Oryzias latipes: one gene and its partners. The protein of the gene in region 2 purifies or fractionates together with the protein of the main gene of each other region. This does not show direct contact. Links are inferred from orthologs where the notes say so. Each region holds a gene or a part of one and is shown on either strand. Other genes may lie near its edges.

Region 1 (3,374 bases), on a different chromosome or scaffold from region 2:
TCTCATCCGTCACCAAAGTCTAACGAAACAGGAAAACTTCACTTGACATGTGAAAAACCTTAAAGGGCGTTCAAAGCATTCGATTAAACATTAGAAAATAAAATGTCTCTAATGTGACATAAATGCAGTGAAATTATACACCGTTTTAAAGTATTACCTCAGGTATTGGGTTCTTTGAGTAGTCCCATCTGAGTATGTGTAAAAAGGCAGTGTTGAGGAGCTGAAACGGACTCAGCATAGCGGTCTTTCCAACCCCATGGTTGGTATCCGTGGGAACAGTGGCTGATGACAGCTCCTCCTTTGCTGCCTGGATCCAGGCAGTGGTGTGGTTTAAAGCAGCTGAGGATATTCCATAAAAAATGGTTTAGCAGCAGTTCTTTTTTATCTCATTCTGATGTAGATATTTTCTATACTGTGACATAAAAAAACAGATTAATTTCTTTCTTTTTTTTTTACTTACTAGGTGTTTTTTCCAAGATTTTCTGAAATTTTTCCCTTTCGTATTCAACGCTGTACTTCTGCAGAAAAGGTCTTATGAGTTCAATGGAAAAGTTGATGTGATCCACTCTCATCAAATCTATTACACGGAAAATCTCTCTAAAGTGTGAAAAAAAAACAAAAAAAAAAAGTTTAGTGACAAAAGAGATACAAAGCTACATGTCATGGTTTCTGATATTTTTCTGACACATTTTGCAGAAAAGAAAAGAAAAAAAACAAGTTTTTCTGTGCATTACTTTAAGAGAATCACAATGTTGTCTGTGCTCTCCCGCAGCTTCTTGATTTCCTCCTCCCTCACTGGAGCGCAGAGCTTTCCCATAGTGTTGATGATGAAGGATGCCAGACCTTGGATGTCTACAGCGTTGTTGTCAGCCTGCTGACGAATCAGGTCCATGTCTAGCACCTCCATGATCTGGGTCCGCATTCGGTTTGCACCCGGATTCAGGAATGACAGTAGAATCTGTGCAGTAACAAACAGTTTCAGGCTAAAATGTTTAAATAGTGAACAACTTTGAAAATCAAAATGTTATGAAAGAAATCAGTGAAATATCTTCCAAAGTAAACGCCATCAGGTGTGTACTTACCTCTCTGATCTCCTCTAATAATTTGATGGCAAATTGATATTTAGGTGGGTCATCACTCAATTCTTCCTTCAGCATGTCCCAGAAAGCCTTGTGCATGTTATCTCTTACAACCTCAAATAACCTAGAAATTCAAAAATGAAGACATAAGTTGATGCTGACACGTTTTATAATGAACAAAATATCTTAACCTCTTAAGACCTGGCGTCCACATGCATGATGCGATATATTACCTCAGTGGTTAGTAGTCTGCTACCAAAGTCAAAATAACAAAGAGAAACAATAAAAGGCACATCAAACAAGAACTTGGAGAGGTCAAAATATTAAAGTATTAGGACCAGCATGAAAAAAAACATTTACCGGTAAATTTAAATATGAGGATAAAGTCCTAAAAGTTTAAGAAAAAAAGTACAAAATGTACTAGACTAAAGTCATAAAATTATGAAGGTAGTGTAAGCCTCCATCCACAATATGTGACGACTACATCATTCAATACAGTCATTTATAGAAATCTATGAGCCATAATGCATCTGGATCTCGGCAGTTATACTGCAGACGGGAGTATAAATTTTAATGTCCTTTTACTTATAATATAGCAATGATGATTCACTAAAAAACTAAATATTTCCTTATTTGCGTAACCAGTGCTGAAGTAACCGCTTACAATGTGCACTATGTCTGTCATACTCAATATCGTTCCTTTTTTTCTGTTGTTTGTGTTTTTCTTAGTAATCAGGCTTTTGCTGTGTAAATTCATGACTTTATTCTCATTTAATATTATTTTCATTTATATTAAAATTGTATGACTTTATTTTCCTTAATTTGTTTATTTACCCCTGATTTGAAATGATTAAATTTATTGTTCTTTAAAACATTGACCTTCATTGTTTTTAATGTGTGTGTGTTTCATGATTGTCAGCAGATGGCCATTTTAAAATGTCCTCAGGGTTTATTAAAGACCCCATCTATCTATTTATTTTTATGGTGGCCTGATATTCTGTTGTATTACATTTCTGTAAAAAGAAAAAGTAAAAAACAGGGTTCTGTTGATTTTCAAAGAAAAATTAGAAAAAAAAATGTTAATCCACAAATAATTAAAAAACAAATTACATCCAAGAAAAAAGCATTTTCTTCAAAAATCTTTGATATTGCACTAAATTCTGTTAGTTTCTTCGTCCCCTTTTCGAAATTTTATCTTGAAGATAACAGTGAGATCAAGTTCTTAGGAACTTGTAGGAACAAGTTTATGTGCCAAGTATTTATGTTTTGTGCCAAGATATTCCACAAATCCCAACAGATTTAATGAAATTCCCTCCTATAAAGAAGTTATATTTTATTTAAAAATAACTATTTTTCTTTGTTCCCTAAGAATAAAATATCTGAAAGCTTAAAGATTACAGGGGTCTAACGTTACCCCACAGCCTCCAACAACAAAACTTCATTCTTTTCATGACATTGTTGAATATAGAAGGGGGCAACTCAAAATCTCATGTTTACGTTTGGGGATTTTTTCTTCTTTTTTTAAGGTCATTAATCTCACTTGAAATTTGAATCAGCCTCTCAAAAACATTATTTTTCTAATCTAGTTATGTTACTAACCTTCTACCAGTTTACCTAACCAGCTGTAACATGTTCAAGTCGAGTAAAGTATCTCACTTTTACCAACATTTTTCCATATTATCATTTGTTTTGCTGACAAACGTAACACAAACCATCATCTTTAACTTTTTTCCTTCATTTTTGTCATAGTGGCTGTAACCCTTCCCCACGACTGAAATAAATTGGCAAAGATCATAAAACCCCTAAAATAGGCACAATGTTTCCAATCTGTTCCCATCAATACCTGTTCTGTGGTCTGCTGCTCATGTCCATGTGAAAACTGGGGTTCATCACAATCTCATGAGAAATTTTGAGGTTAAAAATGTCCCTTGCCGAATCCATGACTTCATCCAAAGTTAGGCTTTTGGGTGGACTTGCTGTGAAAGTGACAGTTTAAAGAAACATCTGTGAGTTGGATTGCATCTGGTTGTGAAAGATGTAAAGACACACAAAATACGAGCAAACAACAAGCACAACAATTTGTGCAATAAAATGTCTTTGTGCTTGTGAGAAATCAAATAATCAAGAATCAGAATTCAAAAAAATGTTTTTTTTCTGATAGAAAATAACTATTCAACCTATTATAGTTATAGTGAATGAAACAAGAAAGTGTGTTTGGGGGTTTAATGACACAATCTGATGAAAATAGTGTTTTTGGTGTTTTTAACGTGTTCTTATTGCATTTTTCAGTTTGGT
Region 2 (4,054 bases):
ATGACGGAAAAAAATGACACGTTTTTTGCAAAAAACTGAAGCTTGTTGAGAGGAAAATGTATAAGAAAGAATGCAATGGGTGTGGCAGCGCTCTTCAAGACTATACTGAACCTGAACAGATTAAACTGTTCGGTATTTTTTTCGATAATCATCATAAACTACAATGCAAAGATGGAAATTTAATGACATGCGTGTGACATGATCTGTTTTAACAAGACTGAAAAGACTCCCAATGCTGCCTCCGAATCCATAGGCGTCTCAGGTCACATCCAAAGGTGTAACATGTCTGATGACTGATGTCACAGATGGGTTTTGTTGTTAGTAACCAAGATAAAGAACCATTTATGTGCTTTGGACTTGAGAATTGGTCAAAACTGATGGAGAGGGCAACCCATCCTCAGGAGGAGCAGGGCGTTACCCCTCCAGCAGATTTTACAATAAAGATCGCCTCAATTCACCGACAGCTACAGCTCTGCCTCTTGATTTTGTGGCTTAGCAAGGTCATGTGACTGCCGGATAAAGGCGTCTGTGTGGATGTCGGCCTGTATCCAAGCAACTCCTCCATTCATTTCCTAGTAACCGTTAAACCTTGGGAGTGGGGGGCTGGGGTGGATTGCTCTGCTGGCATTATGGCCTACATCAATCCTGTGGGACCTGCAACAGCTGAAGCTCCTAAATCTGAGGGAAACGGCCACTGTGACAGTGAAATGCCCAGGCAACATGCAAAAATGTTAGACACATTGAAGAGCCTGCAAATAAAATGAACAATGGAGAGTAGTTTTAGGAGGAAGACGTTTAGAATACAGTGTTAAATGTTGTGGTTTTACACACCAAAACGGGTTAAATAGCGTTTTCACAAACTCACAAGTGAAAGTGTAAAAATCAGATAATTGAACAGTTTATCTTTCAGTTTAGTCAAATTAAATATTTTAAAGAGATCTTCACTTCAACCAGTTTAGTGTTGCAACATCATTAATTCTTATTTTGTATGTGCCCACACCTTAAAAGTTAAAAATGTGAAAAGACATGGACATCAACTTATTAAAAATTGGGTGGACAATTACATGGCATTTTTTTTTGTCTCTGGCACAGACGCCATGATTCCAGGCGGGATGACGCGGGAGGATGTCGGGTGGGGTCCTGGGGGCGGTTCTTAAAAAGAGCTGAGCACTCAGCCAATTGGAAGCCGCAAATCTCTAAAGAACAACCAACGGACATGGAAGTGACCAATAGAATGGCAGAAACCACCGGCACGAGGACTGACATGAATATAAATAGCTGTCATCTCCTTCCGCGACGTTACTTCTTACTTCGACCACATAACAGTCGAACCGTAAGACTCCGCGGCGAGGAATTTCTCCCATCCTCTCTCATCACTTAAAAAAAAAGAAAAACAAAATGGTAAGACTTTTTTTGTCGTTATTGTTTTATAAACACTCAGTAAGATGAACACGTTAATGTCCAGTTTCCACTTGTAGAAAAGTAACGAACTAAGGAGAAAACTGTTACTTAGAGTGAAATTTGAATGTTAATGTAAGTAAACCCAAACTTTACCTAGATGACTAAACTTTTCAATGTACAGCAGATGTTGTCTGCAGAATTTGGGAGGTGTTCTGGCTCGGTTCGGGCCGATATACGTGGCGGGTAGGATGAACAAAAGAGGGTTTCAGGGCTGGACAATCCGCAGAGTCTGCGGCGAATCGCTCCCCTCCTTCTCCGAGTCATCACTTGTCTGTAGTTGACTGTTGGCAGGAATTTAAATAGAAGACGAAATACAAAAATAAAAAATGATGACACAAAAAAAGACTCCTGGAAAGGTTGTTGTACCCAAGGAAACTTTGTCTGCAGGAACACTTCATGAAACGCGCTGTCGGCAGATCATGGCGGCGTTGATTAATTATGGATGATGGAAAACGGACACTGCTGTTTTGTTTGCCCCCAAAGACCCCAGCAGGAGGAGCGCCGCCTTTTGTCCTCGGGTTGTAACCGAGGACAACAGATACTCAATTGTTTTAAGTTAAAATGTGAGAAACGAGAAGTTTGCGTCGGGGCTTGTTGCCTGGCAACGAAGTTTACTCAGGAGGTCATTGCGCCGCGCAGAAGGGCAATCGGTTAACTTCTTAAAATAATAAAGAGAACGAAAACATTAGCAAATAAATCCATAATATTCAATGGGAAAACTTTCTTATATTCTTATGAATACATTTTATATTTGAAAAAAGTTTACTTTCAAAAGTCAAACTATGAGCAAAGTTTGTAAGACTTGTAGTCCAAAGGTTTTAGTAATTTATTTACAGTTTTCTCTCTCTCTCGTTTTTTGGTTTGTTTTCCCCACAGCGTGAGTGCATCTCCATCCACGTTGGTCAGGCCGGAGTCCAGATTGGCAATGCCTGCTGGGAACTCTACTGTCTGGAACATGGGATCCAGCCGGATGGCCAGATGCCCAGTGACAAAACCATTGGAGGAGGAGACGACTCATTCAACACCTTCTTTAGTGAAACTGGAGCTGGAAAGCACGTTCCCAGAGCTGTGTTTGTAGATCTGGAGCCCACGGTTATCGGTGAGCATCTCTTCCAGATGAACATGTTCTGATGAAGGTGCTGGAGTTTGTGAAAACTAAAGGGATTTGTCGTGTTGTCAGATGAGGTGCGCACTGGGACCTACAGGCAGCTGTTCCACCCTGAGCAGCTGATCACCGGGAAGGAAGATGCTGCCAACAACTACGCCCGTGGACACTACACCATCGGTAAAGAAATCATCGACCTGGTTCTGGACAGGATCCGGAAACTGGTGGGTACAATCAGAGCATGTGTTTGTGTTTGTCTCGTAGTGGTGCAATAACAGTATCTGGCATTTGTTTTCTTGTGTGTCTTCAGGCGGATCAGTGCACTGGTCTTCAGGGCTTCCTGGTGTTCCACAGCTTTGGTGGAGGCACTGGCTCTGGTTTCACCTCTCTGCTGATGGAGCGTCTGTCTGTGGACTATGGCAAGAAGTCCAAGCTGGAGTTCTCCATCTACCCAGCTCCTCAGGTGTCCACTGCTGTGGTGGAGCCCTACAACGCCATCTTGACCACCCACACCACCCTGGAGCACTCTGACTGTGCCTTCATGGTGGACAATGAGGCCATCTACGACATCTGCCGCAGGAACCTGGACATTGAGCGTCCCACCTACACCAACCTGAATAGGCTTATTGGCCAGATCGTGTCCTCCATCACTGCCTCTCTGCGCTTTGATGGTGCCCTCAATGTTGATCTGACAGAGTTCCAGACCAACCTGGTGCCATATCCACGTATCCACTTCCCTCTGGCCACCTACGCCCCCGTCATCTCTGCAGAGAAAGCTTACCATGAGCAGCTTTCAGTGGCTGAGATCACCAATGCCTGCTTTGAGCCGGCCAATCAGATGGTAAAGTGTGACCCCCGCCACGGAAAGTACATGGCTTGCTGTCTTCTGTATCGTGGTGACGTGGTGCCCAAAGATGTGAATGCAGCCATCGCCACCATCAAAACAAAACGCTCCATCCAGTTTGTGGACTGGTGTCCCACTGGCTTCAAGGTTGGCATCAACTACCAGCCGCCCACTGTAGTTCCTGGTGGAGACCTGGCCAAGGTCCAGAGGGCGGTGTGCATGCTGAGCAACACCACTGCTATTGCAGAGGCCTGGGCTCGGCTGGACCACAAGTTTGACCTGATGTACGCCAAGCGCGCCTTTGTTCACTGGTATGTGGGTGAGGGTATGGAGGAGGGAGAGTTCTCTGAGGCCAGAGAGGACATGGCGGCTCTGGAGAAGGATTATGAGGAGGTTGGAGTCGACTCCATTGAAGGTGAAGGAGAGGAGGAAGGAGAAGAGTATTAAACAAGGAGGAGGAATCAGTTACAGAGGAAGGAAATGGCTCAAGCATTCCAAAAAGATGTTTGTTGTTCTAAAAAAGGTTAAGATGTTCAATGAAACCTCCTGAAAATGTCAAGACTGGTTTTGATATGAATAAAATCTCTCACACGATTGTTTGTCTTCATATATTTTCACTTAAAAAATTAAGTTTTGAGCTGAAA
Region 3 (3,448 bases), on a different chromosome or scaffold from region 2:
AGCCAATAATCTTGCCCTACTCATGGCTGATTACCTGGTTCAGGTGTGTCCAGCCAATTAGAACATGCCAGAGCAGGGTATGCTGGAAAAGATGCAGGAATGCGGCCCTCAGTGCCCACCTCTGGTCTAGTGGGTCTAGATGACCCCACTCCCAATGTTAAAGTGCCTAGGATAGCACAAGGGTCAAGGTAACCATTTATTGCGATTTTTGCCGTCTTTTGCGGTATGCATATTGCACAGCTTGATGTCGCGATAACGATAAATTTGCGGTATATTGTGCAGGCCTATTACAGTTGAATCTAATAGACTTTTTTTTAAATGATTGATTGTATTAATTGATTCAATTCATAATCATGAACCAAGAAGGAAAGTTGTGCCTACATTTAAGCAGCTGTAACTGGTGCAAGTCTAGAAGAAGCAGACCTTTTAGTTTTTGTGCGTTTTGAAAATGTTTTGTTTTAGTTTAATCTCTCTTTTAGGAAACTCACATTTGTCTTATTTAATAAGAGAAAATGGCCAAACTATGACTGCAAACATCTTGTAGCCAATGCATATGGATTAAATTATCTAATTTCTGAAGTGATCAATTATTAATCTGCTCCTGTGTCATTCTCTGACTGACATCAGCTCAAATTTTAAATGCTGCTCTGCAAAAAACCCAGCAAAATAAAACTATCTAAATCTGGATAATTAGTGTAGATTTGTGATTTTTTTTTTTTTTTTTTTTTTTTCCTGAAATGGGTAATATTCATGTCTGACAGTTAGAAAAATGATAAGATTGTAAATAATTTGATGTTTTTTTCCTTTTAGGAGTGGTTGGCTAAAGGCCACGGTGAGTATAGAGAGATCGCCAGTGAGAAAGACTTCTTCGGCGAGGTGAAGGAGAGCAAGAATGTCGTCTGCCATTTCTACAAGAGTTCAACCTTCAGGTATAATTACAGCTACATAAGAAACACCCACCTGAGGAAAGATTTTAACGCTAACATTAAGTGCATTTTAAAAGAATTTCTAAGTTTTGGGGAAAAAAAGTTTAAACTTTGAAATTTGAGATGATATTAAAGACCCATGCCATCATCTTTTCGTCTTGTTTTAAAGCGTTCCCATTGGTCTTAACTATAATGATGCCGCTTTTATTCAAATGGAGCGGAGCAGGGAGTGTATTTTCTACGTCACAATTAGGCTCTTTTTCAACCATCATTTTGTCGTTTGCTCTCGATTCACAAAGATTTGATTGAGGATAATCTCAGAATATGATGTTTTGAGCTCAATTTTCTTCAAATATGTCATCCATCTTCAAAAAAATGACCCGACATGTTAAAAAGACCAAAATTACAATTTTCATCAGTTTGCCTTTAAATTCTTTGCACAGCAAAGGAATGAGACCGTTTTTATAATACAAGTAAACCAAAATCCAGAATCAGTTAGTCAAATTTCACTAAGGCATAACTTAAAGACTAAACAAATTCTGTTAATCAACTAAATTAGAACTAAATATTTGAAACATTCAATAGTAAATAAAATGACTGTAAAAGGTTACATTGTCATTGGGAAAAATGACAATACTCTAAACTTTTGTGAAAGTTTGTATTGCTTCATTCATATATATATATAAATATATATAACAAATCAAAAAACATTTGTTTCCTCCGTTAATCTGCAGATGCAAGATCCTGGACAAACATTTGGCCATACTGGCAAAGAAGCACGTTGAGACAAAGTTTTTCAAACTGAATGCAGAAAAGGCCCCTTTCCTGACAGAGAGGCTGCGCATCAAAGTCATTCCCACGCTGGCGCTGCTCATTGACGGAAAGTCTAAGGATTATGTGGTTGGATTCACTGACCTGGGAAACACGGACGAGTTTTCAACGGAAATGCTGGAATGGAGACTTGGATGCGCCGATGTTATCAACTACAGGTGAGATGGGCAGAATCTGGAATAAAAAGGGTTGTGGTGCTATAGATAGGACTAACGCTGTCATTTTATTCTTCCAGCGGTAACCTGATGGAGCCTCCAACAGCAGCACAGAAATCAGGCACGAAGTTCTCTAAAGTTGAGAAGAGAAGCATCAGAGGGCGAGCCTGCGAGTCTGATTCAGACTCTGGAGAGGACTGAAAACTCAAAAGCCGCTTTTCTTCTACCTCAGCATTAGGTCGAACGGAAAGCTCTTCCCAAGTTATTTCCTTATTAGCATTTCATTTCCTTTTGAGTGGATATATTTCGTCAGTCTTGTCCTTGAGCCACCATTGTAACACGTGTGCCAATGTTAAATGTGTTCAGGATTTTGCATCAGTATAATTTTTTGTATGAAAAGAATTTGACAAATCTTGACTTTGTTAATGTATTTCAGTAACAAATCCAGGCTTCAGGAGCTTCTGCTCTGCTCTGCTCACCTGATTCAGGTCATCAGCAGCAGATGTGATTAGGAATCAGCACCCCCAATTGTGAGAAATCCGCCTTGAATCATTTTTGATTAAATGACTAAGATGCAGAAAGAACGTCTGCAGTTTTTTTTGTTGATAAAGTTAATCTTTTCCTTAAGTTATTTCCTCTCCAATCACTAAGCAGCAGCATGACTCAGAATATAATAAGCTTTTGTAGTGTTGAGCATATATTTGCTTGATTTTGCAGTTTGATTCTCCACCCCCCTGTAAGTTCTAAATAAACATTCATGTTCCTGTCTCTTTTTAATACCTTATTGAGGAGACACATCCAGCCCACATGTTATAATAGCTTCTATTCAAGTTTATACCTCTGTTAACCTTTGATAAGACATTCAGAGAAATGTCTAAATGTGGACGTCTTAACTTATTGATGTTTCGGATTCAACGTTTTTTTCTGGTCTTTTTCTGGTCTTGGTAAAATATACCAAATCATTTTCCTAACTTTGAAAAATGTATTCATGATGTCACTCATGTCAATTAAATGTTTCAAACATCAACTAGTGCAGACTTGCTGTGGAAAATAAACATTTTTATAATTTAACAGCTTTGTGTAGATAATTGGTACTCAATTTTTAATTTTGTATCCAATTCTAAAATATACAGATATTAAGGATCATGCTGGCATTACATAGAAATTTCTCAAATCATTATTTTCACACTACAGCAAAACCAAAAACTTTATTTTTTAAGCAACTTTTGAACACTGGATCACAAAGCGACGACGAAGCTAAGACTCGCTGATTCGGGCGACCGGTTGGAGAAGGCGCCGCACTATCAGCTCGCCCTTGCTGTTGAGGAAGGCGTCGGCCATGTCCTGCTCAGCGGGCAGCCCATAGGGAGTCTGCAGAGGCTGGATCCTGAAGGAGCACAGACACCAAAATGACTTAACATTGGACAATTTTAACCGCTTGCTTTAGTGCAGGAATCTTACCTCACAAGATGCTTCACAAACTTTAGTTGGCTGTTGACTGCAGGTGTGTTTTTGTGAATTACTGGTACATGTGCC

The links. The genes of interacting proteins can lie anywhere in the genome.
Region 1: the proteins of tubulin alpha-1A chain (region 2) and tcp11l2 purify together in Homo sapiens (affinity purification with mass spectrometry; 3 studies listed by BioGRID and IntAct, counting the BioPlex papers as one, with this or other methods). This does not show direct contact. The link is inferred for Oryzias latipes from reciprocal best matches to the Homo sapiens genes TUBA1A and TCP11L2.
Region 3: the proteins of tubulin alpha-1A chain (region 2) and txndc9 purify together in Homo sapiens (affinity purification with mass spectrometry; 3 studies listed by BioGRID and IntAct, counting the BioPlex papers as one, with this or other methods). This does not show direct contact. The link is inferred for Oryzias latipes from reciprocal best matches to the Homo sapiens genes TUBA1A and TXNDC9.

The regions. Positions count from the first base shown.
Region 1 is NC_019881.2:17,114,424-17,117,797, reverse strand, and holds part of tcp11l2 (T-complex protein 11-like protein 2), read right to left. Parts: intron 3,056-3,374; coding exon 2,923-3,055; intron 1,204-2,922; coding exon 1,083-1,203; intron 959-1,082; coding exon 735-958; intron 598-734; coding exon 461-597; intron 340-460; coding exon 158-339; intron 20-157; coding exon 1-19. UniProt on the Homo sapiens protein: Promotes the migration of muscle-derived satellite cells (MDSCs) during differentiation throught interaction with FMNL2 and therefore may participate in microfilament assembly.
Region 2 is NC_019865.2:25,876,984-25,881,037, reverse strand, and holds tubulin alpha-1A chain, read left to right. Parts: upstream 1-1,244; 5' UTR 1,245-1,398; coding exon 1,399-1,401; intron 1,402-2,337; coding exon 2,338-2,560; intron 2,561-2,641; coding exon 2,642-2,790; intron 2,791-2,876; coding exon 2,877-3,857; 3' UTR 3,858-4,006; downstream 4,007-4,054. UniProt on the Homo sapiens protein: Tubulin is the major constituent of microtubules, a cylinder consisting of laterally associated linear protofilaments composed of alpha- and beta-tubulin heterodimers.
Region 3 is NC_019879.2:10,009,615-10,013,062, forward strand, and holds the end of txndc9 (thioredoxin domain-containing protein 9), read left to right. Parts: intron 1-810; coding exon 811-929; intron 930-1,660; coding exon 1,661-1,915; intron 1,916-1,992; coding exon 1,993-2,113; 3' UTR 2,114-2,939; downstream 2,940-3,448. Other genes in the region: mrpl30 (39S ribosomal protein L30, mitochondrial), read right to left, coding at 3,170-3,299, 3,374-3,447. UniProt on the Homo sapiens protein: Significantly diminishes the chaperonin TCP1 complex ATPase activity, thus negatively impacts protein folding, including that of actin or tubulin.